3 linked regions of the Drosophila melanogaster genome follow. The gene in region 1 interacts genetically with each later gene. Each region holds a gene or a part of one and is shown in the gene's direction. Other genes may lie near its edges.

Region 1 (10,408 bases):
CCTTTCCCTGGAGCAAAACACACGACTCGTGTAGGTCGCTCAGGTAGGCAATAATGCAGCGCTCCGCCGAAGTGCACTCACTCGGATTCGATACGTGCCGAATGGTACGACAGACTCCCTCAAAAACAGACAGCGTCTGCTCCGGTGAAAGAAGAAGGCAGCTGTGGTAGCGCCGCAGGATGCTGACGATGTAGAGGGCAAGTGAAGTGGTGTAACTGCGCACTAGGTTTGACTTCTTTAGCTGCAACTGGTGCTCCACCTCAGGCAACTCCTTCAACAGACTATCGCACAGTTCCAAAAGACTGTAGATATTAAGAGCCAGCTCCATCAGATCAAAGAGGAACGCCACGTGCTCCTGTACCGGCAGGTAGTTGTTGTTCCCTAACGCGAATCCGTTCAGCTGCTCCAGGACATTGGCCGCACATTGGGCTGTGACCACATGCTGGTCGAAATAAGCCATCTGCTGGCACTTGGACGTGGTAGCTTCGAAGTTAAACTCGTTGCGCGAGTGCTTCTTCACATGACCGGCCGCCGCCACATCTATGCTAAACTTTTTTGTGAAAAGCTTTCCAATTTCCTTAGACATCTTCTTGACAGCATGCTTCTTCTCGTCCCTCTCTTTGCCGACTCCGAAGAGCAGGATGTATCGCTGGTTGCTTTCACTGCTGTAGCTGCTCATGCTGGGATCATCCTGGGGGATGGGGAAGTGCTTGGTGTACACGTAATGCCGCGATATGCTACCGCCAGGATTGGTTTCTCCATCGCCTGGAGGACCAATCTTGGGACTGTCTGGAGCTTCGTGCTGTTGTCCTTTCTCCTTAATATTTTGCACCAGTTTGTCCAAATCGTCGTCCACATTGGAATCATCAAATTCGTTGTGTTTGAAGTCCAGGCCCCCGCCGAATCCGTCATCATCGAAACCGTGCGTCGTCGTTGGTGGTGGAGCTGGAGGTGGCGGCGATGTTTTCGTGGCCGTTGTTCCTGATTTGATCACCAGCACCGACTCCAGGAGCAGATCTCCTCGTGAAATTAGAGTGTGCATGTACGCGTTGTGCGAAAAGACATCGTGGCGAATCAATGCACTGAACAGCTGAACAAGGTTGGTAAATTCCGTGCGCTGCTGTGGACTGCTCACGTGCTCATCGAGGACGGGAGCATCGTGGTCAAGGAAGTGCATTAACACGTGCTGAAACACAGGCAGGCCATCAATTAAGCCGGCGCCCGAAGCTAGCGAGTCCTTGTCATCCTTATCACTGGATTGTTGATCCGCCGGCGTGCTTGTCACGTCGATCTGGCGCTTGTCAAGTAGAATGGCCACCACCATGGCTCTGTGTTCTCCCCAACGCTGCCCCGACACAGCCCACTCGCACAGAATGCGTACCGTGTCCTTGTCTTGTTTGGGTTCATAAGGCGGACGAGGTTCCACCTGATCCTCCTCCCGCCTGCGACTGACAGTTGGGCTGGGAAATATTTGTGCGTATAGGGTATCGATACTATTATTGTGTTCCATGCGATCGAAGCAGTGCGTGTCCAAGTGGTCCAGTGTAGCCAGCACACTGGTGTATTGATTCTTGCCGGCACTCAGCCACTTGGCTGCAAACCAGCGCTGCTCTGCATGCTGAGTGCGCAATACGATGTCCGACTCGGCGGCCCGCAATTGACGTCGAATCTCGTGATTGGTTCGCGGACAGCGTGTGGGCATCGGCAAGACTGAGGGCGCCAAAGGCAAATGGTCCAGCGGACTACCCAACAACGAGGAGGGTGCTCGGTGAGCTGCTATCCCACTCCAGACCAGAGCTGTGGGGCACTCGATTGTGATGATCTGTAGGATCGTGCTTAAATACAGCACTATATCCCGATGATGGGGACAACTCATTTGTTCCTGAAGCGCCAGCTCATAGGGATCTTGTTGCAACTTCGGCTCGTCCAACTCTTTGATGGTCTGCTGTTCTACGACAGTGTTCAGCAACTGGGCCAGTTTTTTGGACACTATGTAGGCCATCTTTCTGCAAAGACGCTCCGACTGGACGAAGTCGTGCATGTACTGAAGGGCAAAGCTGAGCACCAATTTCTTCAACGGTTCGTCGAAGCTTGCCTGCGTACGCATCTTGTCCAAAAGGTCGAGGATCCAGTTTAGAAATTCCTGTCGGTCCAAAAGTGATTCCTCGTACATGTACTTGCTCAATTGGTGGCAGTATTTCCAATACTTAAGCGCATTGCGACTATCTTCGAACTGGCTTCCAATTCCAGAAATTGTAGAGCCTGGTGGAACTGCAGCTCCTGCACCCGCTGCGCCTCCTACCACAGAAGACCCCGGCCCACCGACTACTCCGCCAAGGCTTCCCGTCGTCGGCATGACACTGCCGGCATTCACTCCTCCGCCAGGAGCTGCCTGTTGGCCATTAGCTGGGCTATGAATCGGTGGCAGTGGACTGGCCATGCTGGGTACCGGGATTACGTTCGTGGAAGCACTGCTACCGGTGACGGAGTTAATAGAGCTGGTGCCAGTGGAGCCATTGCTGGCAGGACCATTACCGGCGGCGGTCAGGCTTCCGGAAGTGGTGCCATTCGAAGAGGACTTGTCGTGGTCTAAAATCAAGAAGTTGAATAAGGGAGTTGATAGATTATAGAACTTAAGGACTGTACTCACTCTGCTGATAATACTCTTGGAGCTTGGGAAGCAGCTCTTTCATGAACTTGATCATGTTGCCGGTCCACTCGGCAGCCGGGTCGTAAATGGATCGCTTTTTGTTCTTAGACTCGGTGAAGCTAAGCGTATAGGCGGCGCTCAGCTTGATGAACCAGGTGGCGCGTTGCATGTTCACCTGGTTCTCGCACAGAGTAATGAAGATCTCCTCCTTCTTGTTGAACGATGGAGCCCGTTTGGCTAGGCTAAGTAGGGGTTTGTTACCGGCGAGGTCCTTAAACCAGGCGTCCACCGTACACTTGCGACGCGGCGAAACGGGCCAGAAGTTGTCCTTGCAGTTGATCTGCTGCTTCTTGCGCCCCGTGTCCGGCAGGGTCATCAGCTCCTCCTTCTTGGCCAGGACGCCGCTAAAGAATGCGCTCACTTTGCTGGCGTTCACATTCGAGTTGTGGGCCGTACCGAATTCATCGGACAGCGGTGGCGTCGTCGTGAATCCGTGCTTCACATTCGTGGGCGTCAGCTCGTCCTCTCGCTGCTTCGCGTCCTGCGGATAGATGTCCGGCGGACCCAGACGGGTGCGCTTCAGCGGACGCTTCTCCTGCAGCATGGACAGCATCTTCGCGGCCCTCTAGTTGCGTTTTATAAACAGATTTTCTTAGCGAATTCCCGATTTCCTCTGTTCGCCAACCCAACAACAAATCAAAATATCAGTGGTGGGGCGAAAAAATGCGATGAGCCATCGATAGTTCGATAACATCCCGCGAACAATCTAGCGGATGCAATCGAATTTAAGCTAAGTGTTAAATGGTTGTAAATATTACAAATGTAATCTTATCATGTTCAGCCACACATCCCCAATCAACCTGATACAGTACTTTAAATATGACGTAATTTTTTAATTATGCAGTGAAAAAGTTACATCGTTGTGCACTAACAAAAGAAATACCACTCAAAGTGGTAAGATCACGAATAAAGCTGCGTATAAATATTAAATAATTTACGTTGTATTTTTGGTAATGATTGAAGAAACATTCGTTGTTAAACGAATAAGGCCTCACAAGGCTTGGCGATCGAATTCCGGCTCATCGGCATAAAAGTGTCCGCCGCTTGTCATTCCATCGCTGCACTCGAAGTTCAAACAGAGCATTTTCAGGGGAAATTCGTGCGGTAGCTGCAAACGAAGCACAAAGTGTCACATTAACATAAGGACTTTCGAATATATGTATGTGCTTTAAATATTACTCACCCGTTCCATGATGTCATGCCTAATGTCAGTGGCCGCGGCAAATAGCTCTAGGGTTTGATGAGCTGAGCGTTTCGATAAGCTGGCCAGCGTGTCCAAGACGAAGGCGTCTGTGATGCCCAGGCAATAGCAAATGTTCAGATACCGAAGGCGCTCATTGTTGGCCACCAAAAGGGAGAGCTGCGTTTCTCCAATCTCACGAGCGGACTGTATGGAAAGGCACTCTAATCGACTCAACTTCGCCAAGTGGTGAACACACAGATCGTCACGAGGCTTGCAGACCAGCCACCGGAGACACTTCAAAGCACTGATGTACTGCGCCTGCTCCTCGTCAATCCAGCGTTTGCGGTGCAGGATGAGGTATTCCAACTGAATGGAGCACTGGCTTTTGGCCAGTGCCTTGAACAGGCGCGTTTTCATATCCTCCGAGCAGTATAATTGCAGGTACTTGAGGTTTACAAACTGCGGCAGGACCAACAGATCGGCGTCGCAGTCATTGAACGTCAGCTTCTCCAGGTGGCGGCAGTTGGTGGCCAGCATCCTGAGATTGCTGGTAGTCAGAAAGCGTTTGGCGTTGCGCAGCTGAAGGCATCGCAGCTTCCTCATGGGTTTCACAATTGTTGCGAATTCCGAGGCGGTCACGTCGTCGTACAAGCCAAGTTCCAGCATCTCGCTAAACTGACGTACTTCTTGTACTGTGAAGGGAGAAGCAATTAAATAATATTGTTGTGATAAGGTGAACATTAAATAGTTCTTACACTCCTTGCGTTCAAAGCTCTCCAGGCTCAGACTGTTGACCCGCGGAAGGTGTATCCCAATGGCTTTTATTAGATCCTTGCTGGTGCTCTTGTAGTTACGCACGTGCACCTTTTCCAGGGAGCTCATCCTCAATAAATACGGTTGCGCCCGTGCCACTGTTGCATTGTATATAGAGATGGACTTCAGTCGGTAGCAGTGTCTGCTGATCATCGGGAGCAGCTGCAGCGGGTGATCATCGTCAAAGTGGGATTCCAGTGTACCGATGCGACTGCCACAGAGCCACAGAAAGGTGCGCCAATCCTCCAGAGTCCTTATACTCATATCCTTGTCAACAACATCCTGGAAATCATGGCGATGCAGGCGAAGAAAGGCATCCCTAAAAATGCGACAGCATCGCGCCAAGTGCAACTGGTCCTCCAAGCTTAGAAGCTTGAAGATGAACAACAGAGAACTGGGGTCCAAGTCCAGAATACTGGTGATGCGGGCCATTATTAGCTGACTATGCTCATTGCGCGGGACCGTCACAGGCGCCAAATGGCCAGATTAGCAAAGGCAACTGGTTTATGTACGCCTGACATGGAAAAATTTATCCCAAGTCGGTAAGTTCTATTTATTTACTAATTGGACTGGTGGCAGTGATGACAATTTTCGAAGTAAGAGTCTTTTGGCAAGATTCAAGCTAAAAGGTTAAAGCTAAGATATTTTAACTATTGTTTAAGCTTTGTTTCTTAATAGAATTACAGTAAATAATAACATGACCTTAAAGTAAATTTAAATAAATTTAAATTTAATCAATTTTAATTAAAAAAATCAATGTAAGTAATAAGTAACGTAATTTCAGTACATAAATTTTATACAATTGTCGGTGAAAGCTTAATTGTCATGACTATCTGCGAGCCAAAAGCACTAAAGTTCTAAAATCAATCGATTAGCTATCGATAGCCCCACTGGATCGCAGCCAACTTTGCTTTGTTGGGGATGCAAAATGCGAATGGCTCTTGAAGAAGAAGCAGCAGAGGGAGGAATTTCAACAAATTACCGAGGAAAAAGGCAAGAAACGGGCGAAGAAAGCAGTGTGTGTGCATTGGCAAGTGCATAACTCCTCACCACACACACGCACACGCACCGACATCGCAGGGAGCACACACACAAGCCCCAAATAGGACCGAGGTGACCAGGACAAAAACCCCAGCTTAGATGATGAGCAGCAGAACGCAGGACGCGGACGGTGCCTCGATCAGATTCAGCGACCACACACTGGACAAGGCCACCAAGGCCAAGGTGACGTTGGAGAACTACTACAGCAACCTGGTGACGCAGTATGGCGAGCGAAAGCAGCGCCTCGCAAAGCTGGAGGCTCAGCTGAAGGACGAGAGCTTGTCGGAGGCGCAGCGCCAGGAGAAGCGTCTGCAGCATGCCCAGAAGGAGACGGAGTATCTCCGGCTGAAGCGATTGCGCCTCGGTGTGGAGGACTTTGAGGCCCTCAAAGTCATCGGACGCGGCGCGTTCGGTGAAGTGCGTTTGGTGCAGAAAAAGGACACGGGACATGTGTACGCCATGAAGGTGCTGCGCAAAGCGGACATGCTGGAAAAGGAGCAGGTGGCACACGTACGAGCCGAGCGCGATGTCCTGGTCGAGGCCGATCATCAGTGGGTGGTGAAGATGTACTACAGTTTCCAGGTGAGTGACGAGCGCCAGCTACAACAAAAACAATGATATAGGGTGGGTGGGAGAAAGGGTGATGGGGTGAAGGAGCGGGCGGCAGCGCACATAACAAAAGAATTGTGTTAAAACACGGACAAAAAAATCAATAAACCAATACAACGGCAAATGCCAAAAGCGCCTTTGCCAATCATATGGTCACGTCTCTCTTGCTCTCTCGCTTCCTCTCTCATTCTCTGCGTGGGCCGCCTTTGTTGTTTTTTTCTCGATTCTCTTTTGTCAACTTCTTCTCGGTGAAAGTTCTTGACACAGGCGAACCAGCCTACACTGAATCGCCATTTCTCTGACGTTAAATATTTGTTTAATAAGATATTTTTGCATATTACAATTATTGTACAATGAATGTAAATACAATTGCATTCATATATAAGTATTTTCTTACTCAGTAATAATGTGAGAATGTTTTTGAAATATCTTTCCACAGGATCCCGTCAATTTATATTTGATAATGGAGTTCTTGCCTGGTGGTGATATGATGACGCTTTTGATGAAGAAGGACACGCTATCCGAGGAGGGCACACAGTTCTATATCAGTGAGACGGCATTGGCGATCGATTCTATTCACAAACTCGGTTTCATACACAGGGATATCAAGCCCGATAACTTGCTGCTGGACGCGCGAGGGCATCTGAAGGTAAGTGGAATCCAGATAATTGAGATGAGCCCACTAAAAACTCTATTATTATTTTAGCTCTCCGACTTCGGACTGTGCACTGGCTTAAAGAAGTCGCATCGAACAGACTTTTATCGGGACTTGTCGCAGGCGAAACCATCCGATTTTATAGGCACGTGCGCCAGGTAAGATGTGAAAGAATCTAAGCTTGTATTTATTAAATAAACTAGCTTGTCCTGCAGTCCGATGGACTCCAAGCGACGTGCCGAGTCGTGGAAGCGAAATCGACGCGCCCTCGCCTACAGCACCGTGGGAACGCCGGACTATATTGCACCCGAAGTATTTCTGCAGACTGGCTACGGACCCGCCTGCGACTGGTGGTCCCTGGGAGTCATCATGTACGAAATGCTGATGGGCTATCCTCCATTCTGCTCGGACAATCCCCAGGACACCTACCGCAAGGTGATGAACTGGCGCGAGACGCTGATATTTCCCCCAGAGATCCCCATATCGGAGGAGGCCAAGGAGACGATCATCAACTTCTGCTGCGAGGCCGATCGCCGGCTGGGTTCCCAGCGCGGTCTGGAGGATCTGAAGTCCGTGCCGTTCTTCCGGGGAGTTGACTGGGAGCACATACGTGAGCGTCCCGCGGCCATACCCGTTGAGGTGCGCTCAATCGACGATACGTCCAACTTCGACGAGTTTCCCGATGTGTCGCTGGAGATACGTAAGTATATTTTTAAGCAAAGGGACGAGCACACAGACTAACGTGCATCCATTGCAGCATCGGCGCCCATACCGCAGGGCGGTGAGATTGCGAAGGACTGGGTCTTTATCAACTACACGTACAAACGATTCGAGGTGCGAAATTTGGAGTGAATCCAGCAGAGCAGGAACTGGAGCAGGAGCAGTAGCAGTAGCAGCTTGAAGGTTGCCGCACTTTGCCACCCATTTTATCACCACCACAGCCGTCGTCTCTCTAACACCATCACCACCAAGAGCATTCTCCACGCTAAACGAAATCCCCGATTTTCCTTTTTGAATGTCTTACCTACATGTGTATTTAAATACTAGCTAACATTTGTGATTCCAAACAAGAGAAGAATATGATAACGCGAACAAACGATGTATTGTATGTAAAAAAGTCTTAGAGCGTCGCCCGCGCCTCGGGCTAGGTTAAACGCTATACTAATCCTCAAATGTCCTTCCATTGGCTTTGTTCAATCCCTAATCCCGATCTTAATCGTTTAAACGTTGTGTTTGTAAACCAGTTCCCCATATTAGGGACCCATTCGGCAATTCTTTATATATATATATATTGTTTACTTATTGGGCAGCAGCGAAATACCCATAAATTTATTATTTAGCAAATTAAAAATGTTATAACTTTTAGGCACGTTAATTGTACGTATATGTTTTGTATCAACTTGTAATGAAACAAAGTCTTAATACATAGTGAACCCCACACACAAAACCGAATCCGAAAATCTATCACACAAATTAGTTACTAATGCCAATAGCAACAAAAGCTAATCTAGACAGCAGAATAAATAAAAGTATGTTTAAATATCGGTTTCGTTCTATGTACACCTGCCCCATCCCACCCCACCACAACCCGCGCCCACGGACACGAATATAGATTTAAAAACATTCTACTTCCCGCTGGAGTTTTTAGTTCCAAGTAATTGTAGTTTGAGCAAAAGTGAATTATTGAAAAAGTTACCGAGTTACCGCTGGCAAGTATAAATCCAATTACATAGCAAACACTCAACGCCGAGCAGTTGCAGAATGCAAACTTAAAATAATTGATAATATACCTATAAATAAATTAAACGAGTAAACAAGTTTTAAGAAATTATTTTTGGTAATAGAATACAATAATAGTAAGCATACTGATAATTCGATAATAATGCTACACACACAGCAACATGAAATGCAATAATAAATGAAACATGTGCATAATAACTAACAAATACATGCTTTTTACTTGAATTCGACTCGATCTGGGCAATCAGTGCATTACTTACAGGAGTGCTAGCATCCTTGAAGCATTCTATGAGGTGGATGTGGTTCATGAAATCATACACCGTGGACATCAACCTTGGAATCATCTCCCTATTTCCACTTGAATCATGAAACCTATCTCAAAGAAACCTTAAGCTTTTGAGTTTCCCGTAGTGTAACAACATGTGAATGGGTATGGATACGACGAACCTTCATCTTTAACCTAAATGGTATTGTATTGTATTTTCGAAATAAGTAAGCATGAGGAAACCAAAAAGTAACACGACACAAATGCTAGGCTTTGTACATTTAAATGTATGTATATATTTTGTCGATCTTTTCATCTGCACTTCTCTCGATATTTCCCTATCTGCACTCGCGTTCGATTTTTGATTTGTGTTTTGTGTGTTGATGAGAGGGCGTTGATTTCATTTTCTGCAGTTCTGCAGTTTCTGTATCTGTATCAGAACAATGTGGCTTGGCTTTAATTGAGTGCAACATCCGAAACCATTACAGACATGAAAATAAAGATTTCAAATTGAATTGGTCAGGCGGTTAGGCTCGAAAATCGAAAGTAACTTGTTTTCCATCTGCGATTTAATGTGTGTATGTGTGTCGATCGTGGTTTCTCGCTGTGTACGTGGCGCGTGTGTGCGTGAATCGGAATATATAGCTAGTCGTTTATTATATATACTACATATATAAATGTATTAGCATATGGAGACTACAGACTATAAGAATTGTTACATCAGCTGAGGGGGGCGTAGGCAAAACTTTACAAACGGGAGAACGGGGAAAACCCTACGAGACACATTTACACACAGCTAACAAACAAACTGTAAGTTGTCCATTTTCAATTTTCCATTTTCAGCTATATGTTTGTTTACATTACGGTTCGATTACTGTGCGGGCATATATGCATATGTATGTATGTTTGTAATTGAAATTTGAATTGAAATTGGAATTCGGATTGCGTTTACTTCGTACTGTGGATTTATTTAGCTTGTTTGTTTGAAATCTTTATTGGATGCTTGTAACGGGCAGTAGTATCCATAAAATTATAATGGTATAATGTTAAAAGTTTAACTATGCGCTTACAGTCTAATGAAAAGTGTATACATCGACGAATATGTATGGTAATTTCAGAAATTTTTTATAATCGCTTAGGTTTTATCTAGTTGTTTTTCACTGTCGATTGTGTGTTTTTGAATGGGGTAGGGTGCGGGGAGCGGGGTGGCTGGATGCTTGGGGTCTCTCGTTAGTTATGCTATGCGCTTGCAACTATTATTAATTAATTTAATTTAATTTAAATTGAATTACAAGTAATCGGTTTAGTTTTTCTTCACTTTTTACTTTCATATCGTAGCTTAATTCTCTACGCCTTTGCACTTGCTTTGATTTTCGCTTGCTACATTTTCTC
Region 2 (10,408 bases), on another chromosome or scaffold:
ATTCAACTTGACCTAGAACTAACTTAGTTTTTCTTTTTAATACGTTAATTCGGGCCTAATACTTGGCTGGATAGCCTTTGTTAGCCAGCACAGCCTTACACCCACGCAGCATGGAGTCCACCAGGTCCTGGCATCATTTGGGGGAATTTTTGCCCATACATCCTGCACAACTTTCCAAATCTAAGCCTTAGACGTCGGGGAGTTCTTCGACACATTTTGTTTAATTTCCCCCCACAGGTTTTCAATCGGGTTTAAATCGTAAGGTGGTGCTGGCCACGGCATTGCATCTATTCCATTTTTGGGTGAACCTATTCTTTGCCGATTTGCTTCTGCATTTCGGATCATTATCCTGGTGGAATGTCCATTTTAAGGGCATATTATATTCAGAATATTACAGTAAGACATCAATGAGTATATTTACATATGCTATTTGGTCTATAATACCATAAATCATATGTTATGGACTCATACCATTGTAAAAAAAAAAACAAGCATATACCACAATTTTAGGTTCACCGTGGTTGAAAGTCTTCAGTGGGTGTTTTGGGTGGTATTCCGTGTTTGGAGGTCGTCAGATATACTGTAGTGAACCCGTTCCACCAAATTGCACGATTTTTGACCCATCAGTCCAAAGGATATTACGCCATTTGAAGACTGGCCAGTTTAGGTAGGTTTTAGCGAAGCTTAACCTTGCCTAAATATGCCTTGGGCTAAGTAGGGGAACCTTTCGTGAACTCCTCGCACTGAAATTTTGATTTAGTAGTCGTCTTCGAATAGTATCGTCCCTGATTCCCAAGTTGAGCTCAGACTTTATGTCCCTAAAGGATGCAAAAGGATAGACTTTGCTGTAAGAAACAATGCGTCGATGCTATATATCTGTGGTTATATCTATGGAACCACGGTTTTCGGGCTTCCATTCATATTTAATGACATTGGATACCATTTTGGCAGAACATTCAAGGGTTTTTTGAATGTTCATATATGTTTTTACTTCCTTTCTAAGCTTAATAATTAACATTCTTTTCTCCTGGGAGCAGTGCTGTCCTTTACCCACTAATATATAATTTTTTTCATTTACTCCCCTTTTAAATGTACGAATTAATCAAACTCACTTTTTAAAAATATTGATCATTTCCTGACTTTACGTTGGTCAAAACCAGACACTGCTATTCTTATGAACAGCCTAAAAGTTGTGATTTCGCTTAAGAAAGTAAATAAAAAAAGGATAACATGAAAAACTAACCGGATTTTCTTTTTTTCCCTATATACACATTCCATTTAACAAAAATAAGTGGAATAAAAAGTCAATTCCGAAAAGGGACATGGAAAAATACCTTTGTATTAATTAGTATTCCTCGCACTGCTATTTTTCTGAACACAGCTGTACATACCATTTTATATAATAGTCATTTTTTATATGTATACATGATCCAATTTCTATTGCCCAGAATTTCAAAAACTCTTTCGAGTTAGATCAATTTGCCTGTTGGTGATTAGAACTACGATACCTCAAAGTTATTATGGTATAACCACAGAACCACAGAAGCCCATTGATACCAAATATCAAATCAATATCAAATATCAGTATGGTATTGTCGATTGGAAAATAGGGACGCCATAGTTGTGTGCTTTATTTCGTTTATCCGACTTCACGTGGGAAGCGTAGTCAGTGTTGTAATGTCTATTTAAAATCGTAAGTATATCAGTTAGCGAGTTCCGTAGCGACAAAAGGGGTTAGGGGTTAGAGGCTAGTACAATCGCCGCGTGTAATGCATCTGCTGACCAGGAGGCGGCTGGGCGGAGCCGGATCCGGACGGTGCTCCCGGCTGGCCAGGCAGCATCGCCAGCTGTTGCCGAGCCAACTGCTGCTCGTGGGCGGATCCACCTCGTCCAGGGGCATAGCCCTGTGTGATGCTTCCCGCTGTTTTCGGATTCTGTGGAGGAAACTGGCCAGGCGTTAGTCAAGTGAATATTTAGTTCTTCCTTGTAAATGATATCAAACATGTTAATCAGTAGTTGGGAAGTTGGTTCTAATGCGTTTTCCTATGAAAACATGAAAACCTGCAACAATGAATTTGTTTTATAGAAAACAGCTCTTATTCAAGATGCTCAGGCTTTAAAAACCATTTTCGCAGAGCCTAATCGTTGAACTTCGATTTCGAAGATGTAAATCTAACTTGTTTGTTCTAAGTTGTAAATTCTAAGACACTGCCACGGCTAATTAACCACAAATGTTGAGAATGAGACCCACCTGGCTGCTGCTTATCTGCAGCACGTTGCTGTGCAATGAGAGTTCGTTGAGCAGCGGCTTGAAGATGACGCCCTCCGGCAGCAGGTGTGGCGGAGGCGGGACGTGGCTCGGCGGCTGGCCGTCGTGCTTCACCTCGATGTGGTAGCGGTCCGGTAGCTTCTCCATAGTCACGTGTGGCTGGGAGGCCTTTACCGAGAGGCTGCCGCCGGCTTGAGCCACCAGGTCTGCCTGCGAAATGGTCGGCTGGTCGAGGTTGATGTGAAGCACTTGCATGGGCTGCGACTGCGACGGTGCCTTGGGCGACTGCGAGTCGGGCGGCTTGCTGACCGTGGCGCTGGGCAGGTCCACGTGGTAGGCCTGGCGCAACGGAAGGTTGTAGTTGTAGATGGACTGCAAGCGGGCGTCCGCCTGGTGCTGTGTCGTCGGCGGAGGAGCGACCGTCTGGTAGAAGACCGTTCCCGTGCCCGGATACTGTGCCGCTGTTTCTGGAAGAGAGGAAAAGTGAGGTTTAATTGACGAATCTGGCGATCGTTCCGACGGAGGATCTCGGGCTTGGTATTGCAAGTGAGGTGCTTACTGTTCCATGATAATCTAGCATAGTCAGCGGCACGACGGTAGTCATCGTGTTCTGCGAATCGATCGTAAACAAATAACGAAATGAACATAAGTTGTGTGCCTGTGTTGTTAGAGGTTAGTGTGCGCAGTGAAATGGATTTCTCATGAACGGGACGGAGTGTTAGCGAGCAGTTAATCAAGAAGAACAGCGAAAGCTCCGCAGAACAGATCAATCGGTGATTGTATCGCACCTTTAGCCAATGCCAATTTGCAGTTGAATTTTAAAACTCGAGCTATCTGCTAGAAACCCTATATATATCGTTTCTACACTATATATCCTTCAAAATAATAGGGTAATTTTTGTGCACATTAAAACACATTAAACTAAACCATCCAATACAAAGCCTAAACAGCACGAAACTTTCTTTATATCGAATTGATTATTTACTTAACACTTAACCATGTTTTTGCAATCATTCCTAATTAGAAGTTCAATTGATATTAGTGCTAATATTTCATAGAGCTTAAAAAAGGGCTTGGCAATCAGAATGTAGAGATGATGACATCACAAAAATCACGTATATCTCTCGTCCAAATCAAGAACCATACATATGTGCTAACCAATTCAATGACTAATCAAATTATGAGCAGATCCCGCATTCGAGTTAACAAAATCCAACCGAAATTGCGTGCATGAGACTTTGGACTGCCTGCCTGAGGCAGCGTTCACTGTATCGGAGGCCCAGGGACCACATTGTCGACCTCTTCCTGGCTTACTCTGCTGGGCGTAGCTGGCGGCGCTCTTGTAGTAAGCCTGCTGCTGACTCGGCGGCGATGGACTCCTGCCACGTTTTCCTGGCTGTCCGCCGGACGGGAGCTGCGAGGAAAAAAGAGGACCATTAGAACCTGAATCCCACAATTGCGCAGTCGAGACCTTCTGCATCAGCGTATGGTGCTGGTGTTGGAGGCGCAGGGGCGGCAGGAAGACCGGGCTACTGGCCGCCGCCTGCTGGATGGCGAACAGTTCGTTCTCCTTGGCCAGCTTCTTGCGCGTTTCGTCCTCGTTGAGCACCTTCTTGAGTTGGACGGTCAGCTGATGCTTCTGGCTGTGCAGATCGGCCAGCTGCTCGTCCAGTCGGGTTATCTGGCCGCGTGTGTCATCCAGGGCCACCTGGTTCTGGCGCTCCACCTCCTCGCGCTCCCGTCGCAGCCGCTGCTCCTCGCACTGAGCCTCGAACTCCTCCTGGCGCCGCTGGCGGTCCGCCACGATGAAGCCCTTCAGTGCCCCGCGCAGCTTCTCCGCCCGCTCGGCCTTCGCCGCCTGGGCGGCCGCGTTGCTGTTGTTTACCGCTGATGCTGGCGGCATCTTTGTGCTCTGCTTAGTTATCTTGCCAATTTTATAAGCGTTCGTGGACGACCGGGCAATCGCGACTGTTTGACCGAACCGACCGAGAGGCTCCCCAAATGGAATGGCGTGCTGGTGGCGGTGGGCTGGAATCCGGGTGGACACCGCTACGGGAATCAATGGTTGGGCGTCTTGGGATCACTGCAAATGCTCGACGCCGGGCTGCACTTTATTTTCGTTCACTTTCAGCACGGTTTTTTGTGGTAAACAATTTGTTGAGTGAGTGGGATGTGCCGACCAGTGTTGCCACCAATCGATTAATGGGCAAAGCTAGCTAGAAAATAGCTACTTTCCGATTGTGGTGGCAAATCTTAAGTTAACGTTCGAACTAAATCACTTATAAAGAATTCGATTTTTTCTTTAAAGCTTATATTCCTAATATTACTAGTCACACCCCAGAATTTAATATAAAATACAAATAGTTTCAACACTGATCGATACTTATCGATAACTTTTTGGAAACAGATTATAGTTTTTGGAAAATCCAAGCATTAAAGTCTAGACATTCTAGAAATGTCTATCGATGTTAATAAAATGCGTAAGCATCGATATGGCATCTCTCATTGGAGGTATCGTGCAGCTCGAGCTCTGCGGTCACACTAGAATTGCAGTTGTTGGTGTGAACGTCTGAACGCGATTCGGAAAATACGGATTACACGGATAATACGAATTATACGGATATTGCGGAAGTTGAACGGAGACGCGACTGAAAGAAAGCCGTGAAATGTGTTCAGTTGCGCGCAGCAGTCATTAGCCTATCAGCAGTGTTTGTTACAAGCTAACAGTGATACAACGTGCCTGGAATCGCAACCAACGCAGAGCAAGAAAAGCAGAAAAGCATAAAAACGGAAGAAGCAGCAGCGGAATAATCAACAAAGGCGGCAAACATGGCGAGTGAGTAACATCGAGCATTTCTCTGCCTATGGAGCATCCCAAACGACATACAGCAGACCCCGGATTCCTTTTCCATAGCATAAACAAACGCAATTCATGCGAGTCATTGCAGCGGCCGTTTTATGGCTGCAGTGCAGCATTTACGAGCTGCGAAAACTTCCAAATCGCTGCCAGGTGTCGGAGGAAGTTGCTCCGAGCAGGGGCAGTGGGGTGGGGGCGGGCGATGCGGCTCCCTAGACAAGATGTGTGTGTTTGCCGGGGACATGTGAGAAAAATCAATACTTATGCTCCCCACTCCCCATCCCACTGCACAGTGGGCCGGTCGGATTAGGCAGATGCCGTGCTCCTGCTGCTGTGCGCACCCACTTATCGCGGCCAACAGGGTCAGCGCTTCCCAATCAGAAATCCCGCTCTTTTATCCTTTAATGGCCCCGGCAGTTCTGGCGGGAATTAAGTGCGGCTGAGACAGCGGCCACCACCGTTTTGCACGAACCCGCCACCCGAGCCGCCCACTCCACCGCAGCACAGGAGGAATAGGAATGGGAACTGGGAACAGCAGTGACGACGCATTAATAAATGAGAATATGCCTCCTGCGAGGTGCCAGGTTTACCGGCGTGTCGCAACACTCCCCGCAGTCCTCACAATTCGTTTTATCCCCACGGGGGGTGATATAGCAAACAAAACGATGAAGTCATGCACAGTGAGAAATCTATGGCAACTTTGTTGAATTGTTGATAAACATTACAATTAGGACAATCTTCACAGATTAAGCTTAAAAGGGCTTAAAATTCGATACTACTTTGCAGTCAAAGCGCAGTCATTGTCAAGATAAAGCTGTGACTAACTAAAAGAAACCCCTTTTTTTCTTGTGTTTCTCAGTGTAGTTGGATGTGTAACGTACGCACTGGATGTGTTATATTTGGGTCAGTCACCGATGAGAATTGTTAAACGTAAACAAGTCTCTAAACTTCTTAGTTTTCAAACGTGACTGCACCGAATCAACACATACATAAACACTGGCCACAGACTGTACTGTTTGTATACCCTTTCCCGAGGGGAACCTGTGCAGAACGACAACAAACAGCACTTGAACGCGCCGGCAATCCCGGCCTCGAAACTTCCCCTTTTTCAGGAGGGGTGCTGCATCCCAATCCCCACACCACTGTACACCTCACTTGTCTACAGAACCCACCAGCTGCGCCCAGCGTAGCGAGACCCATTTCCACACTGAAAACAATTCGTGGTTCTTGTTCATTTTAATTCATATGCAAGCACTGGGAAACTTGCGCTGAATATATGATTTTCAAGACCTGTCATTCGGAGCATTCATTAAGTGTTACATAAGTTTTATACCTGAAGTATAGTACATTGAAATACTATTCGACATTACTATAGATTGTTTTGAAATCTAATGAAAGGACATCTATAAAATTCAAGGATGCAGGCCATTGGACCGTTGCGGCATGATTTACTCGCTGTGCAGATCCCAGCTGCGAGATGCTTGCCACGTCCTCCCTGCGGCTCAGTCACTTTGGACTTTAATTGGTCCTTTGTGACTGCATTTGTCGACGCTTTCGCTCGGCGTCTTCGACGCAATTTGACTGCTGTCCTTGAGGCTGTGGCTACCATCAACCCCGAGGCTGGGAGTCTGATAAGGAAGAGGATATCAGCTGCCAAAGCAGGCCGCTCCCCTCGCCAGATTCCAGATTCTAGATTCCGGAGCTGCTGCCTCTTTATTGTTATTGTTATTATTTTGGGCTTTTCCATTCGTTCCACGCAGCTTACCCAGATTAGCTGGCTGTTATTGTAGTTTGCCCGGCTTCGAATTTATTGTCCTTTTCCACCTCCTTCTTGCGTATTCCGGCGTCGTTGCTTCATTTGCTTCAAATCTAGCTGGGTGACTTGTGATTTCCCCGTGCCTAGCGCCTTCCACTCGCTTTATTCTTTTAACTGCTAATAAGATTTTGGCCCTTCTAATGGCCTTGAGAATGAATGGGGCGAGCAGGCCGCCTTGAAAAGATGAAATTGTGGGGTGGTTGGTGGCTAGCTCTGTTTTAATTGAGTTCGTGCCCTATTCAAATTGGCATAGAAATTAATTTCAATTAACTTTCGAGTCTTTTCGAGGAGGCTATGTGTGTCCCCTTGACAAGTTGTGGAGCATACTTTACGGGGCCAAAAGAGGGTTGGCATTTTGGGGAATCCCCCATCGACAGAACGTTCTAACTTGTGTGCTTCAAGTGTGCAACTTGTGTGCAAACTTTTAGTTTTTTCCGCTCTAAACTAAGCAACTTGTACAACTTGTGTCAACTTTTAAGTTGGTAAATTCGTTGGTATTTACACGAGTACTGCATGATTTAAATGTTCAATAAGCTGGCTGGTATGTAAAAAACGGATTCAAGTTGTCTTTTCTCAAGTGTTCATTGTGTTGACATACAAAATGTTGACTGGCGAAAGTCAATTTGTATTTAAGTTTGCAGCTACATATACATATACAGTCAACTTAGTTCGAAACTATTTCGGCTACCTCTAATATACATACAAAAGCACTTTGTTAAATTCACCAACTCGGTGGATTGTCCCAGAACAACAAACCAAAATTTAAAATTTGCAAACGAACAGAGAAAAACGAATCCTTTTTTGTCTTCTCACGCTGCTGGGAAGGAGAAGAAAGTAACCAAGAACTGGAGGACGACGACTTCACAATGGGAATCCTGCAGGCGAGGAGGCATCACTGCGTCGACAAGGTGGTGAGTGACCTGTGCCTGGGACACTACGAGCACGCTCTGAGGCAGATCAACGAGGATCTGGAAGGCTTACAGAACCACGATGAGATCATGGCGCTGCTGGAGCTAAAGAATATCATTTTGAGACTGAGGCTGAAGGGCGAGGCCCAGCGGACCATAGGCCCAACTCGCAAATCTGACGCCCTGCCCCACAAGTTCACACTCGAGATGCTGGACGTGGTGCAGAAGGTCCTGCGGTGCCGCAATCACTACGAGGTGCTGCGCATCTCTCATCATGCCACCTACTCCGAGGTGAAGCGGGCCTACCACAAGCTGGCCCTGCGCCTCCATCCGGACAAGAACAAATCTCCTGGGGCTGAGCAGGCCTTCCGGCGGATCAGCGAGGCGGCTGACTGCCTCACGGACTGCCAGAAAAGGATTGAGTACAACATAGCAACGGCAGTGGGCGACTGCCACGACCAGGATCCCTCGCAGTACAAGGATTATCGCGGGGAAAGTGAATTCAATGAGGCAAATGGGAACGATCTGGGAGCCGCTTTCAGAAGGCCTTATCGGGGGGCCAATCAGCGGATGCCCCAGAGGCAGTCACTCTACCAAACACAGCAACTCGTCATCGGAGTGGTGGCTGCTCTGGTTTTTCTCTTCGTCACCATGCACTTCATCGCAGGCGCTCCTGCTTACAGTTTTACGCTAACCAGGTGAGTTCTAGACTCACTCGGATGCTGAGACTGGCGTATACAGGCCCAATCTTCTCCAGAACCCACAGCGCTCGACGGCTCAGTCGGACGAACCACATTGCCTACTACATGAATCCGACGACTCTGTCCAAGTACACAGAACAGCAGTTGGCCGAACTGGAAGTAGAAATCGAGGAGGTTTACATCTCGGACCTCAAACATAAGTGCAGGCAAGAGCGGAGTTGGAGTGAGAACTATTAAACTTTGTCCAGTACCAGGCACTTCAAATTACTTCTGATTCCAGGGGATAATCTGTTTCTCAGGGCGAGGCAGGGAAACAACGACCAGAAGTTGCTCCAGCATGTCAGCCAGATGTCCACTCCCGCTTGCCAGGCGTTGCTCCAGCTGGGAAAGTCTGGTCACAGTCGACTGTTGCTCGAGAACGAGTCTTTGAATCAGGACGTGCCAGTCTGATACTCTGTACTTTTCTATTGATAGATGTAGGGATTAGTGCACGGTGTAAATAAAGAGTAGTTTTAAAAATACGCAATCCTTATATTATATGGTTTATTGTATTGTACATTGTGGTTTGGTATATTTAAGAGCCCCGCAAAAGTGGGCTCACTTTTACTTTGCAAGCTTCCATTTTTTTCAATTTATCATAACTCGAGTGGATCATGAATTATACCTTTTCACTTACATCACCTAGTTATCCATGCAAAAGGAATCATTTCGTTTGAATTATAAGGTTCGTTCCCATGGCTGCCATTTTCTGTGCCATGCCTCTGCCTCCAACTTAACCCACTTTTCCCGAATTTTTCACTTGGCAACAGGGCCCAAAAAGCTAAAATACAACTAAAACCGACATTAGCGTCGCCAGTTGCACATGAATTAAGCATGCAACAACAATAAGTTTGCACTAGTTTTTTTGTGATTTCTGTGCCGTTTGCTATTTGCTATTTTTGTACGTGGCCAAAGTTGGTGAATCGCGTAATGGAGAAAATAAAATACCACAACGGAGTGGAAATAAAACGCAGGCCATAGGCCCCAATCATGCCCAGAAAAAAGGAAACACGAAAATAAAATGAAGCCATTGCCCCAGAAATTCAGGCGAATAAATGCCTCGAACGAATCCCGCTTCCGCAACGAAGAGCTAACGAACTTGCCACGGAACTCGAACGGAATGTATGGATGGATGGATTGATGGCTGGATGGATGGGTTGATGGCTGGATGGACGAGTGGCATACTCTGAATACCAACGAGTACCAGTTACCAAAGCAAACATTCGGAGGCACGCAAAAGGCGGCGAAGCAGCAACCGAGACGCATTACGGAGCTGGTCTGGGCCACCTTCTGTCAGACGGAAGTGACGCTACTATTGCCACTGCCACTGCCACAGCACCTGTCGTCCTCCTGCATTCCTCATCCCTGTCAACCTGCCACTCCGCCGGGCGGGCGATGCGACGCGTCTCTGCCACCTGTCCAATTGCATTCAGTCAGCTGCGTCGGACAAACAAATACAACAATTCCCCTTTTTACCTGAATATGCAGATGCATCCCGCAATACATATGCACATTTCCACTGGCTGCGTTTCGATTTAAAGGGTATATTGGACTCCTAATTGTATGTCTGTCTGCACGGAAATAGCTGAAATACCTAGTAAAGTTTTCATTCGGAATAAGATAGTTTGAAACAGACTTGAGTTCATAATTTACCTATATCTTATTATTATTCTTAATTATTATTTACCCAAACAGAAAAGAACTCGGAGGCATGATTCTTTTGTATTTAAATCCTTTAACCATTGGAAAACACACTACTCAAGAGTAACACTAAACAGCTAGTTATAATAAAGAGAGTTCGATATCAGATGGTGTATC
Region 3 (10,408 bases), 8.3 Mb from region 1:
ATGTGCTGACAGCGGGCAAAGTTCGCCAAACAGCTGATTTCTGCGTCTGCCTATCGGTGTTTGCGCTTTTCTTTTTGTTATTGGATTTCCCGGCTCGACTTCAACGCCATCCGTTTTATAAATTATTAAATTTGCGGCGCATTTTTCCTTGGTCTGCTTTTCGGTTCTTGTAGGGTTTCCATGTTGCGGAGAAACCCCCGCGAACTTTAGTGGCGCGACCAGGAGGCAGGTTTCCTCTGCTGGGTCTCTGGTGATTCACACCTCCAGACGACGTTTGCTGCACATATACATTACTGTTAGCATTTCGGTATTAACCTCCGCCGACGCGATTTACACACGCCCCCCCTTTCGTTTAACGGCGACACATAAATCTCACAGCGCCACGTCCGAGACGCATATTAAGTCTACAGTGGGGGGCACAAATGAAGGACACTTTTCTAAAATGAAGGACACGCAGGATATAGAAGCCAACCCAAACTATTTAATTATCTAAAAAAAAATAAGAAAACATGTATGTACATATTTTACTTAAAATGATTAATTAATAAGGAAAAGAAAAGTTTAATTTACTTAAAAATTTTTTAATCACTTTATCATTTTTATCAAGCTGATCCATTTATCTTGTACTTCCGCTGACCAAGCACTTATTTTTTTTTAAGAGGAAAGATTTTTTATGGTTCTTACTACCATTTAAGTTCAAGCATAGTGTACAAAACGAGCGCCAATTGTTTCATTGCTATTAATTTAACTACCGCTGTGTGTTTATGCGTATGTGTTTTCGTTTATGTGGCGCTCATTCAAATTCATTGTTTTGCCATTTTTTGTGGCTGTTTTTTGTTTTTGCGCATTTCCTAATTTGATGGCAACATCTGACGTCATTGGCATTGCGCATGACCCGCAGAAGCAGCACTAACAACAACAACAACAACAACAATAATAACGGCAGCAACATCAGATACAACAACAGCGCAGTAACTACAGTAACGCTGGCAACAACATCTTGATACGCTTTGTTGTTCCGTCTTATTTATGTGGTGGCGTGACCGACTAAACGGAACTCCCGCCCCCCTGCCCCACCGCCCAGATCGAGACCCCCTTCGTGGGGCCACTCCCCCGCACCAACCCCCTCGAATCGCAGCCCCAAGCGAAACTAGAAACGTATAAGCGAGCTGTAAAAACAACAACAACAACATCGCAGGCACGGCAGCAATAAAAACAAATCACACTAAACTAAGTACACAGATAAAAATAATATGATGAATAACAATTTACAATTTAGAGAAATATTCGTAAACTATTTATTGAATTGCTTGTATCAAACATAATCAATAGAAAAAATTACTTTCTTAACCTTTTTTATTATAAAGGAACTTCTTTAAAAACTTATATTTGCCAAAAATGTAGAACTCAACATTAATTGGGTTTTATTCTTGAAAACGTTTGATACATTTGTTTTCAGTGTAAAGTGTAGTTTGAACAATTGTATTTTCTTTGCATACATATGCAGCTGTGTTGTTTGTTTGTTATTTTTCTCGAGCACCAGGAAACAATCTCCTTAACTCTTTCACTTTGCAATTAAGTAGGGAAGTTGGTTGGGGAGGGGTGGAGTAACAGCAAGTAATCATAAATCAAATATTAAGTTTGATAAGCAGCAACAACCAAGTTGTTTGCCAAGTTAATATTTATATGGAAAATTGAACGTATGGAAGACTAGTGTCTCGGTAAAACTTTGATATAAAATATTCTTTCTGATCAATAAAGAAATCATTAGCATGGCTACGATAAAAGCATCCAGCAATTATGGAAATCAGTGTAAAGAAAGTATATATTTGCCATACTATGCTAACAATAATCATAACCAACATTAAATTATCTACTTCCAGCGTAAATATAAATACAATTTTTGCTTTAAAAGAATATGTTCATTGTTCAATGTACCTAGTACAAATAAGAAAAGTTTACCCTTAGTGCATATGAACTTTTGCGGCACATTGTTTGAACTTTTATAAGCCAATGGAGCAACTCTTTATGTTTTTTTTTTTTGCTTTTTATTGGGAGCAAAAGTATATAACTGAAGGTATAAATGCAACATGGCATTTATATACAAATTGTATTTTAAGGCACTTAAACATGTTATCAAACTGATCGAAACTGTCATCTGACTTCTGAAAGAAGTCAACATGTAATGCCTTAAAATGTCCTATAAAATATTGTATTTAATTGTACCGAATCCTGGTGGTCTCTGTAAACTCTGTTTACTACCATTTTGCATTTTCCTACCTTCTTGCCGCAACATCCGCAATATCCGCAGATCGCGATCGTGTGCCGTTTTTGCTGTCCGACGGCAACAGTCGCTGCCATAAGTAATGGGCACAAAGCAATTCGAGTAATGGCAAATGGCAGCAGTTGAACCGCTAGAAAGCAGCCGAGCGTTACCACCTTTTGGAGCAAGTGAGATGGTTGCTGTGCTGTGTGGGTGGAAAGAGAGGGCCATAGAGTTGGCGGTACGGATCAGATGTTCCATTACACGCTTCGTGTGTGTGTGTGCGCAGCATAGTGTGGATGAAATTTTGATGTGGTGCAAATGAACTTGCCGCCGTTTCGGTTGCATTGCGGGCGGTCACAGGTGCGCGTTCTCTGCTGCCAAGATTCCTTTTCCTCTATCCGCTTCTCACCTTTTCGCCCCAGTCGTATTTGTTCTTGTTTTTCTTCAGCTCGTCAATGGACAGCTGTTTTGAGATACACTCGAAAAAAAGTGTATTAATGCAATTGTCTAGTAAATTTAAAAATATAAAATAAGTTTATGTGGGTTGGTACTGTTGTGTTTTTGTTAATCATTCTTTTTAGTTATTCGCTTAATGAATACCACACATGTCGGTCCAAATTTATCTAAGTGCATTGCGTGTTCCTGTTTTCAACTTTATTTACGCAGAATGACGATGCGTTTATATTATGTTTTCTTATTCGGGTCTAGATTCTGTGTAAGTTAGGCAGCAAATGCAGTTCCTGTGTTCTTCGGTTTTCGTCTACCGCTCCATTCTATTTGATTACTGATTTTATTTCTTCCTGGCCGAAAAAGAGCGTGATAATTACTCCCTGTGGAGAGATTTGATGGTCAGAGGAGTAGCTATTTCATGCGGGCTTGGGGTCACTTCATTGATAAGAACCACGTAGCTGGAGGTCCTTACCATCGAGAATAACAAATTGGAATATATCTTTAATTCTTTATTTTCTGTTTTCCTTTCAGGTGAGTGAAATATCTTGAGCATGAGCTTACCCAAATCCCAGGTAATTTGTTTAAGTCAATTAGAGCAGTCATTTTAACTGAGAAAAAAATTATAACATGCTTAGAGTATTAAACGTATTAAATAAATGTTTAGCGCTTTAACAAAACTCTATGATGTTTTAGTTGAACAGATTGTTATCAAGCCAATTAGTGTTCTTGGTAAAAGTACATAAGTGATGTGATGTTTGCGTCAATTGTACGAAATTGTGTTAGCCATTAAATTTGCCGAATTTATTTCGTTTACCTGTGATCATTAAAACCATGTGTTAATGAATCAACAATGGCAATATATTTATGAGAAATCCATTTAAATGTTTCATACGAACGGTACAATTATCCCTTTTCGTGGAAAATTAATTTCTAATTGTTATTTATAGAGTTTATCCTAGGTTTGTTCAATGCGTTAAAAAAGTAGTAGATTCTGCTACTATTCTACTGCCACTTTGCCGTGTTCTCTTGTTACCGAGCTGTGTGGCAACGCCAGCGCAGTCAGCTGCTGAGCATCAAAACATGAGCGCTCAGCTGATGCGAGAGAGCGTAGAAGAGAGAGGGCTAAAGCCAAAGCAGTCAAACAAGTGGTCGAAAACCGTATAGATGTGCGTGTCTCGCTTGAGTGGCGCATTTGTATGCAAAACACGTACACGGGCAGCTCTCTCCCGCTCAGCTGGTATTTGATACCTCTAGCTCTCTTCCTCGCGCTCGAGCGGAGAGCAAATGTTGCTGGTGTGCGAGACAGCAGCAACATCAGCAGCAACAATAACAACAACAGCAACCACTTCATCTTTACTGTGTGCTCTGCTTTCGTTGCCAGTTTTGTGTTTTTGCTTTTGCTGCCTTTTTTCTCTCCTTACTTGCGTGAGTGTTGATGTTGCCGCTGTGTGTTGCTGTTGTTGCCGCTGTGTATGTGTATGTGTTGCTGTTGCCAGCCGAACGAGCAGCAGTCAGTCAAAGACGGACGGCTTGGCTCAGTGTAGAAATTTCCTTTGGCACGCTTGGTCGCTCGAGCGGTTGCAGGTCGTCGTCAATAGTGGACTGTTGATGTCGCCGCGTCATTATTTGACATTGTTTTTCGAGGCGCCGCCGTCGGTTGCAACCACACATCATCGCGTCGCAGTTAAAAGCAAAACAGCAACTCCAGCAGCAAGCAGCGCAACATTTGCAACATCAATTGCCACCGTGAAATGCTATGCTAGATTGTGAAATAAAATCGCCTACCAATACAAACTAATATCCCGAAAAGGGGAACAAATGTAAGCCGAAAAGGAGTCTGTTCTCCAACAAAAAAAAAAAGAAAGAAAGAAAAGAAGTTCTTCTCTGTGTGTGTGCTAGTGTTTTCCCGTGCTGGTGTGAAACTGTGTCATTCGCTGCGAAAAACTGCATTCAAGTTTTTCCTCAGAGCCGCGACTGCTGGCGTGTTATTGTTGCTGTTGCAGCTAGCTGCCACGGTTTGTTGCTTCACTGATTACGCGCAATGCAGCAACAGCAGCAGCAGCAGAAGCAACAGCAACTAACTGCAGAGGAGCAATAGCAGCTGAGAGTTCAGTTGCGAAACCGGCGAAGCGCGACTGTTGCCAATGCAGCGCTTAGAATTGGCACACCAGCAACAACTGCAACGCTGCAGCAAAGCTGCTACTCCAGCGTCAGCAACAACAACGGTACATTGGGCATTCACAATGTTGCTTGGTGTGCCACTGCCACTGCCACTCCACCACTACTTGTTCCTCCACTGCCATATTGTTTTAACCACTTCCTTTGCCGCAGCGGCAGGAACTTCCTTCCTCACGAGCTTCCTGTCTGTTCGTCCGCTTGTCTGGTTGTCTGCCCTGCAACCCTCAACCCTCCCTTATTAACGCCCCCTCACACTCAACTGCATTGTCAGGTGTTTTCTCTGCCACACAGAAAGAAATGGGGGTATTGTTAGGGTTCATTTGACAGTTTTCACAAGAATTATTTAAAGATAGGTTTTTATGGAATATATCCTTATTCAAACTGCCTTTAAATACCTTCTAAAAATAAAAAGAGTGAAAATCTTAAAATAATGATATATCTTATTGGGCCTAGAGTATTTCCTCTTTTTTCCGTGCACATCCTGGTTGCGTTGTTTCTACTTTTTGTCAACCCCGTTGACGCGCCTACGTGTTCAATACGCTGAGAAAACAACAGTTACGAGTGGCTCAACCAGCAGCTTGTTATTTCTCACACCTTTCGTCCAGACCCCCCGCGCCTTCCTACCACTGCCCCTCGCCAACCCTTTGGGTCCTCAAATGCGCTAGGCCATCCATCGATTTTTTGAGGTCATGCTAAAAATTGCAAAGCCAACTGGAACTAGTTGCGGATTCCCATAGTTGAATTGCCATGGACAATTTGCGGAAGGCAGAGGAAATGAAATTGATTCAAGCCTTTGTGGTGCGATATTATCTAACCGAATTCGATTCGTTTTCTGTGTAGGCCCTTCTGTGTTGCGGATGTTAAGGATTTATGTAAGCTCAGGAACTAATTAGGAAGAAGCACTATGATATTTATCCAAACTAACAATTTTAGTTCGATATATAATGGTATAGAAAAGTATCTATGTACTATTTGCGATTGAACGTTTTGCCCCCGTTATGAAACACTTTTCTCACGGTATTTCCCCATTAAGCAATTCCAGCAAAATCGTATAGATACTAATTTAGTAACTCAGCAATCGCATTTAATCGAATTCATACATATGCATTTCGGTTCTATTGGGACTGTTTTCATTCGACGTGTATCTCAATCGATCGTTTAACCCATATGAAAAGGATAGTCACAGTTATAAACGCTGTCGGATGAATCTCTGGTAACTGGGTTAGTTAGCGACCCGAAAACTTCTCTGCGCCTTTCCGCCGAACCGTTATGCCATATGTATGTATGTATGATGCTCTGCCTGCCCGCCGGTCAGCTCTTCCAGACCAAACCAAACCAAAATGAAGCGAACAGAACAGAACAACCCAAACCAGCTCGAAGATATATATGGATGGGTTTTGTACGGCTTGGCATGGGGTTTGGTGGTGGGGGTACGGAGATACACCTATCTACTATGTATATCATGTCATCCATTGCATGTGCATCGCACATCTCACGTCACCGTACCGCTGCACAGCTTCTATCTCCCTTTCCATATCTGCTGTCGTCTTCCTGCTCGTCGTTTGCCAGTTGTGGAACTCGTTTTCATTTCTTTCGTTAGCAGACATAGACATAATTCTCCAGCTTTTCTAGCGAGCAAAGGGGGTGGGGGTTCATTTTCGGTTTCGGTTTCTATTTTTTTTTTCTCTCTTTCGACTTTGCCAATCGCTCATTTGACCTTTAACGGGTTGTGCTGCATATACATGAAAAGCACACTCAAATCGGCAACAATTAAGCTCATTCAAAACGCGAGCAATGGGCAATCTAAGAAAAAAAAAACACTCGCCGTCGCGTTGCTAGAATCACATCATAAATTTCGGTTTTGATGGGGCGCCAGTTGTTCTGTGTGCGGAGGTGTGAAAACGATACTAGAAGGGGGGCGCACAAAAGACAAAACTCGTTTGGGGGGAAAAGACAACAGAGTCAGCAAATTGGCTTCAATGCGAGTTGAAGGTTAAGTGCGACAGCGACGCGGAAATTGAACATTTTGGATATTGGAATCAGTAGCTGGTTTCGAGCTGAATAAACAAAACAATAGGCATTAACCCCTTTTCTGTCATCTTTCGATTTTTCGTACTTTTTTTTTAGCACGCACTTCAGACCATTTTATTGGCTTCCTAGTATTGTCTGCAAGCAATTAAAAGTTTTTGCTTTAAGCTGCACAAAGAGTTTCATGAGAAATTTGGGATATTAGTTTCGTAAAGTTAAAATTTAAAAGCACAAAAAATATAAAAAATACTAACAGAACGAATTAGTTTTACATTGAAGAAAGAGGATCTTCATATCAATAGAAAATCAAAGATCGAAATGTACAGGGTACCTCTTTTTGCTTATATAATATACCATTTTCAATGATTTCGTATCTACTCAGATATATTATGACAATACTAAGATGGCTAAGATGAATTGCTGCTGCAGTGCGTTTGCAAAATTCGCATTCAAACGAATCTTTAACTATGACAGGGCAAATTTCTGCCCGTTTGGCTTATGTATTTCTGTGTTTTGGGGACTGTTCGATAATTTTTTTTTTTTTGCTTTTATAAATAACCTTAAACGATTTTTCTGCGCCGCCAGGCCACACGAAAAGCGAAAAGTGTCAATGTCAGCTGTTGGTTGTGTTAGCCACGAAAACGCCAAACCGAAGCGAACCAAATCGAAAGCGAGCAAGCGATGTGAAATCGGAAAAATCGAAGACCCGTGCTAAATTTATTATTCAGCTGTCGGCATTGCCATCATAGGCATTTTCCCAACCCGTGTTTGGTTTTCCTCCTCTTTTCCTTTTTTTTTTTTTTTTTTTTTGCCTTTGCCCCGCTTTTCTAGTCCTTTTTTTTGTGCTGGCTGCCACTAAAAGCTTCCCAAAATAAACGCGAATACATGTGTTCATATTTTATACATAACGAGTATATATGTACATACATTCGCACAGTGCAGCGGCTAGTGAAAATTTGCAAAATGTTTCCGTCACACAAAAGGCACTTTATGCCTCCTTCGCTCACCTTTCCCCACTGCAAAACACGCGCCGCTAATTGCACGCGTGTGCAGCCATTTCTGCGAGATTATTTCGAGATACATTTATACACTTGCCACCAGGCCTCCCAAATAATTGCTAGCCGTCAGTTTTTTGGTCTGGCTAAAACTGTGCAGGCAAAAAAACTAAAAAACGAAACCAAACATATCGAGACAAAAGAAAATGTAATTTTTGGGGGCTAAATCGCCACCGAGCAGCTGAAATATCCGTGTTGCAATCGTGTTTTTTTCCATCACGCCCCCGCCCATTTTTTGTTTTTGTTTTTGAGGATTTGTAACAGCCTCGAAAACTCGAGATGATGTTGTATGTGAAGAAGACTCTGCTCCCACAACATTGTCAAAAAGCCATCGCCATCCTCCCCGCTAACCAACATATATCCATTGACCAAACCAGAGGCACCGTGGTCTTTGTGGCTATAAAAATCAATGAAAAATGAATATGTTTATTGTTCAACTTGACTTATTGCCTGCCCCAGCGCTGTTGTTCGTGCATCTTGTTAACACGCCTGACTACAACTTCTGCATTTTGAGCAGTGGCAATCAAATGTTTTACAGAGGAAGCTACCGTTGCATTTTCATAGCCTAGGTGATCAGCAATATTATGGACATTTTACCTATAGACAAAGACGTAGGCGTATTATGGATGATTTAAGGAAACATTTGAATACACTGTATCTGCATACATTATTTTTTAAACAAAATATTAGCTGAATGTTCTTAAAGTAACATTTTTTGTTAGTGTTTCAACTTAAGACAGACCTTAGGCTAGAAACATTATAAAGATTAGTTATCTACTCTGATTTAAGTATTTATTTCATTATTATACTTAAATCAAATTGAGAGCTTAACTGCTGATCAGGTTTTAATTTGGCATGATTTCATCTGCAACTTTTAGTTTCTTTGAGGCATAGAAACAATTTTCGAAGCCAGTTAAGACCCATTAGTAATTATACCCGCTGTTTGTAAAAGTCGGTAGGTTCCCAGTGCGATCCACCATCGTACACTTATCCATATAAAGAGCATCGAGTTGCGATGCAGCCCCCTTTTCTGTCTTTCAATTGACCGCCCACCGCCCGCAATGATGACCGCCGCTGAGATCGGCGGGCTATATAATTATGCGGTTGGGCCCCTTTGATCAAAACCCCCCGCCATTGTTGGTGCCCCTTTTGCGGGGGTATAAGGCGGCATCTTCAACCGTAGATGAAGATGGTGAGGAAGTGCGGTAACTGGATACTGGTGAAAATTGCGCTGGTTTTGGTTTTTTCCCCGATTTTTCCTCTTTCGCTGCCTGGCGGCAAACAATTTTCGGCTAGTTTTGCAATCGACTCCCACAGCCGGCCGTTTCCCGCATTTCCCTGGAAATGCCGCTGGATTTAACTATAATTTTATCTCGCTGCTTGCCTGTGTTTTTCTTTTTCGTTCATCAAATTGAGTTAGCAAAATTACTATAATTTTGTGGGAAATTTTATGGGTCAAATTTCAGCTGTGTTGACAATGCGCCGCCATCTAAAAAAAAAAAAACTAACAAGAAAATTAAAAAACATAAAAGTGGGTAAAGCAGACGCGCCGCTGACCGCAGCACAATTTTTTTTCTCCATATTTTCATTTTGTTTTTTACTAATTTGCTTAATTAGCGCGACTTACGCTCATAAATATAAGAGTGTGTGTATTTATGGAAGGCCCCACTGCGGGTTTATTTTTTACACGATTTAATTGGGTCTATGTATTTATTTTTATTGTTTTTCTCCTCGGTAATTTCAACGGGCCGCTTCTTGGCGTTTTATTTTGTTTTATTCGGTTTTGGCCTTTCTTATTTCTCTCACGTTTTGGGCCCAGTACAAGTTTATGGCGCAGCCTGAGAGCGCCGTCGTGAATGGATTGAATTGGAGTTTAGAGCTTCAGTTTGGAGTACAGTGAAGCAGCAGTAACGGCGGCAACAGCTACAGCAACAGCAGCAGCAGCAGCAGCAGTTGGTATGGCAATCCGGATCGAGGGACCCCATTAATGTTGGAAACGTGATGTTTGTGCGGCTTTTTGTGTAACTCGCCGTGAGAACTTGGCGGCGTTGCAATCGTTCAGGTTTCGCTTCGTTTTAGATGACAGCTGCGAATTGAATCGTTCAATCGGAGAGATCCGATCCAGCAATTGCAGCACGTAGATCATCGATCCACGGATACATGGTTTTCCGTTTTCAGTTTTTCTTTTCTCTTTCGCCTGCAATCGCAATCGCAGGCCCATTTGCATACTCATGTACTCATTTGCTCACTCACTCAGATACTCACATATTCAGATACTCACATATTCAGATACTTACATCGGGATTGGATCGGATTGGATCGGCGTCAATCAGTCAATTGTGTGTGGCCTTCGGAGTGTGAAAATTGCTGCAATCGCTGAACGCACGAAGTACGCATGATCCACATGGATGGAGATCCATCATCTCTGGGG

What was found.
Region 2: of trc (region 1) and vimar, changing one suppresses a phenotype caused by changing the other (phenotypic suppression), as found in Drosophila melanogaster (one study listed by BioGRID).
Region 3: of trc (region 1) and Mob2, changing one enhances a phenotype caused by changing the other (phenotypic enhancement), as found in Drosophila melanogaster (one study listed by BioGRID).

What each region holds. Positions count from the first base shown.
Region 1 is NT_037436.4:19,829,531-19,839,938, reverse strand, and holds trc (tricornered), read left to right. Parts: upstream 1-5,634; 5' UTR 5,635-5,846; coding exon 5,847-6,329; intron 6,330-6,795; coding exon 6,796-7,005; intron 7,006-7,062; coding exon 7,063-7,169; intron 7,170-7,214; coding exon 7,215-7,711; intron 7,712-7,768; coding exon 7,769-7,863; 3' UTR 7,864-9,075; downstream 9,076-10,408. Other genes in the region: kto (kohtalo), read right to left, coding at 1-2,589, 2,651-3,263; CG32221 (uncharacterized protein), read right to left, coding at 3,702-3,818, 3,894-4,585, 4,649-5,138. UniProt on the Drosophila melanogaster protein: Serine/threonine-protein kinase involved in controlling cell structure and proliferation of a variety of polarized outgrowths including epidermal hairs, bristles, arista laterals, and dendrites.
Region 2 is NT_033778.4:6,980,109-6,990,516, reverse strand, and holds the start of vimar (visceral mesodermal armadillo-repeats), read left to right. Parts: upstream 1-4,804; 5' UTR 4,805-5,098; coding exon 5,099-5,105; intron 5,106-7,530; exon of another isoform or gene 7,531-7,808; coding exon of another isoform or gene 7,809-8,548; intron 8,549-8,607; coding exon of another isoform or gene 8,608-8,774; intron 8,775-8,831; coding exon of another isoform or gene 8,832-9,001; exon of another isoform or gene 9,002-9,071; intron 9,072-9,321; exon of another isoform or gene 9,322-10,122; intron 10,123-10,321; exon of another isoform or gene 10,322-10,408. Other genes in the region: CG17002 (uncharacterized protein), read right to left, coding at 1,749-1,946, 2,252-2,736, 2,829-2,879, 3,584-3,683, 3,741-4,172; CG30156 (uncharacterized protein), read left to right, coding at 7,809-8,548, 8,608-8,774, 8,832-9,001. UniProt on the Drosophila melanogaster protein: Probably acts as a GEF (guanine nucleotide exchange factor) for the Rho family of small GTP-binding proteins (G proteins) that stimulates the dissociation of GDP to enable subsequent binding of GTP.
Region 3 is NT_037436.4:11,546,958-11,557,365, reverse strand, and holds the start of Mob2 (Mob2), read left to right. Parts: upstream 1-4,253; 5' UTR 4,254-4,536; intron 4,537-4,672; exon of another isoform or gene 4,673-4,827; intron 4,828-10,408. UniProt on the Drosophila melanogaster protein: Required for the normal morphogenesis of a variety of polarized outgrowths including epidermal hairs, bristles, arista laterals, and dendrites.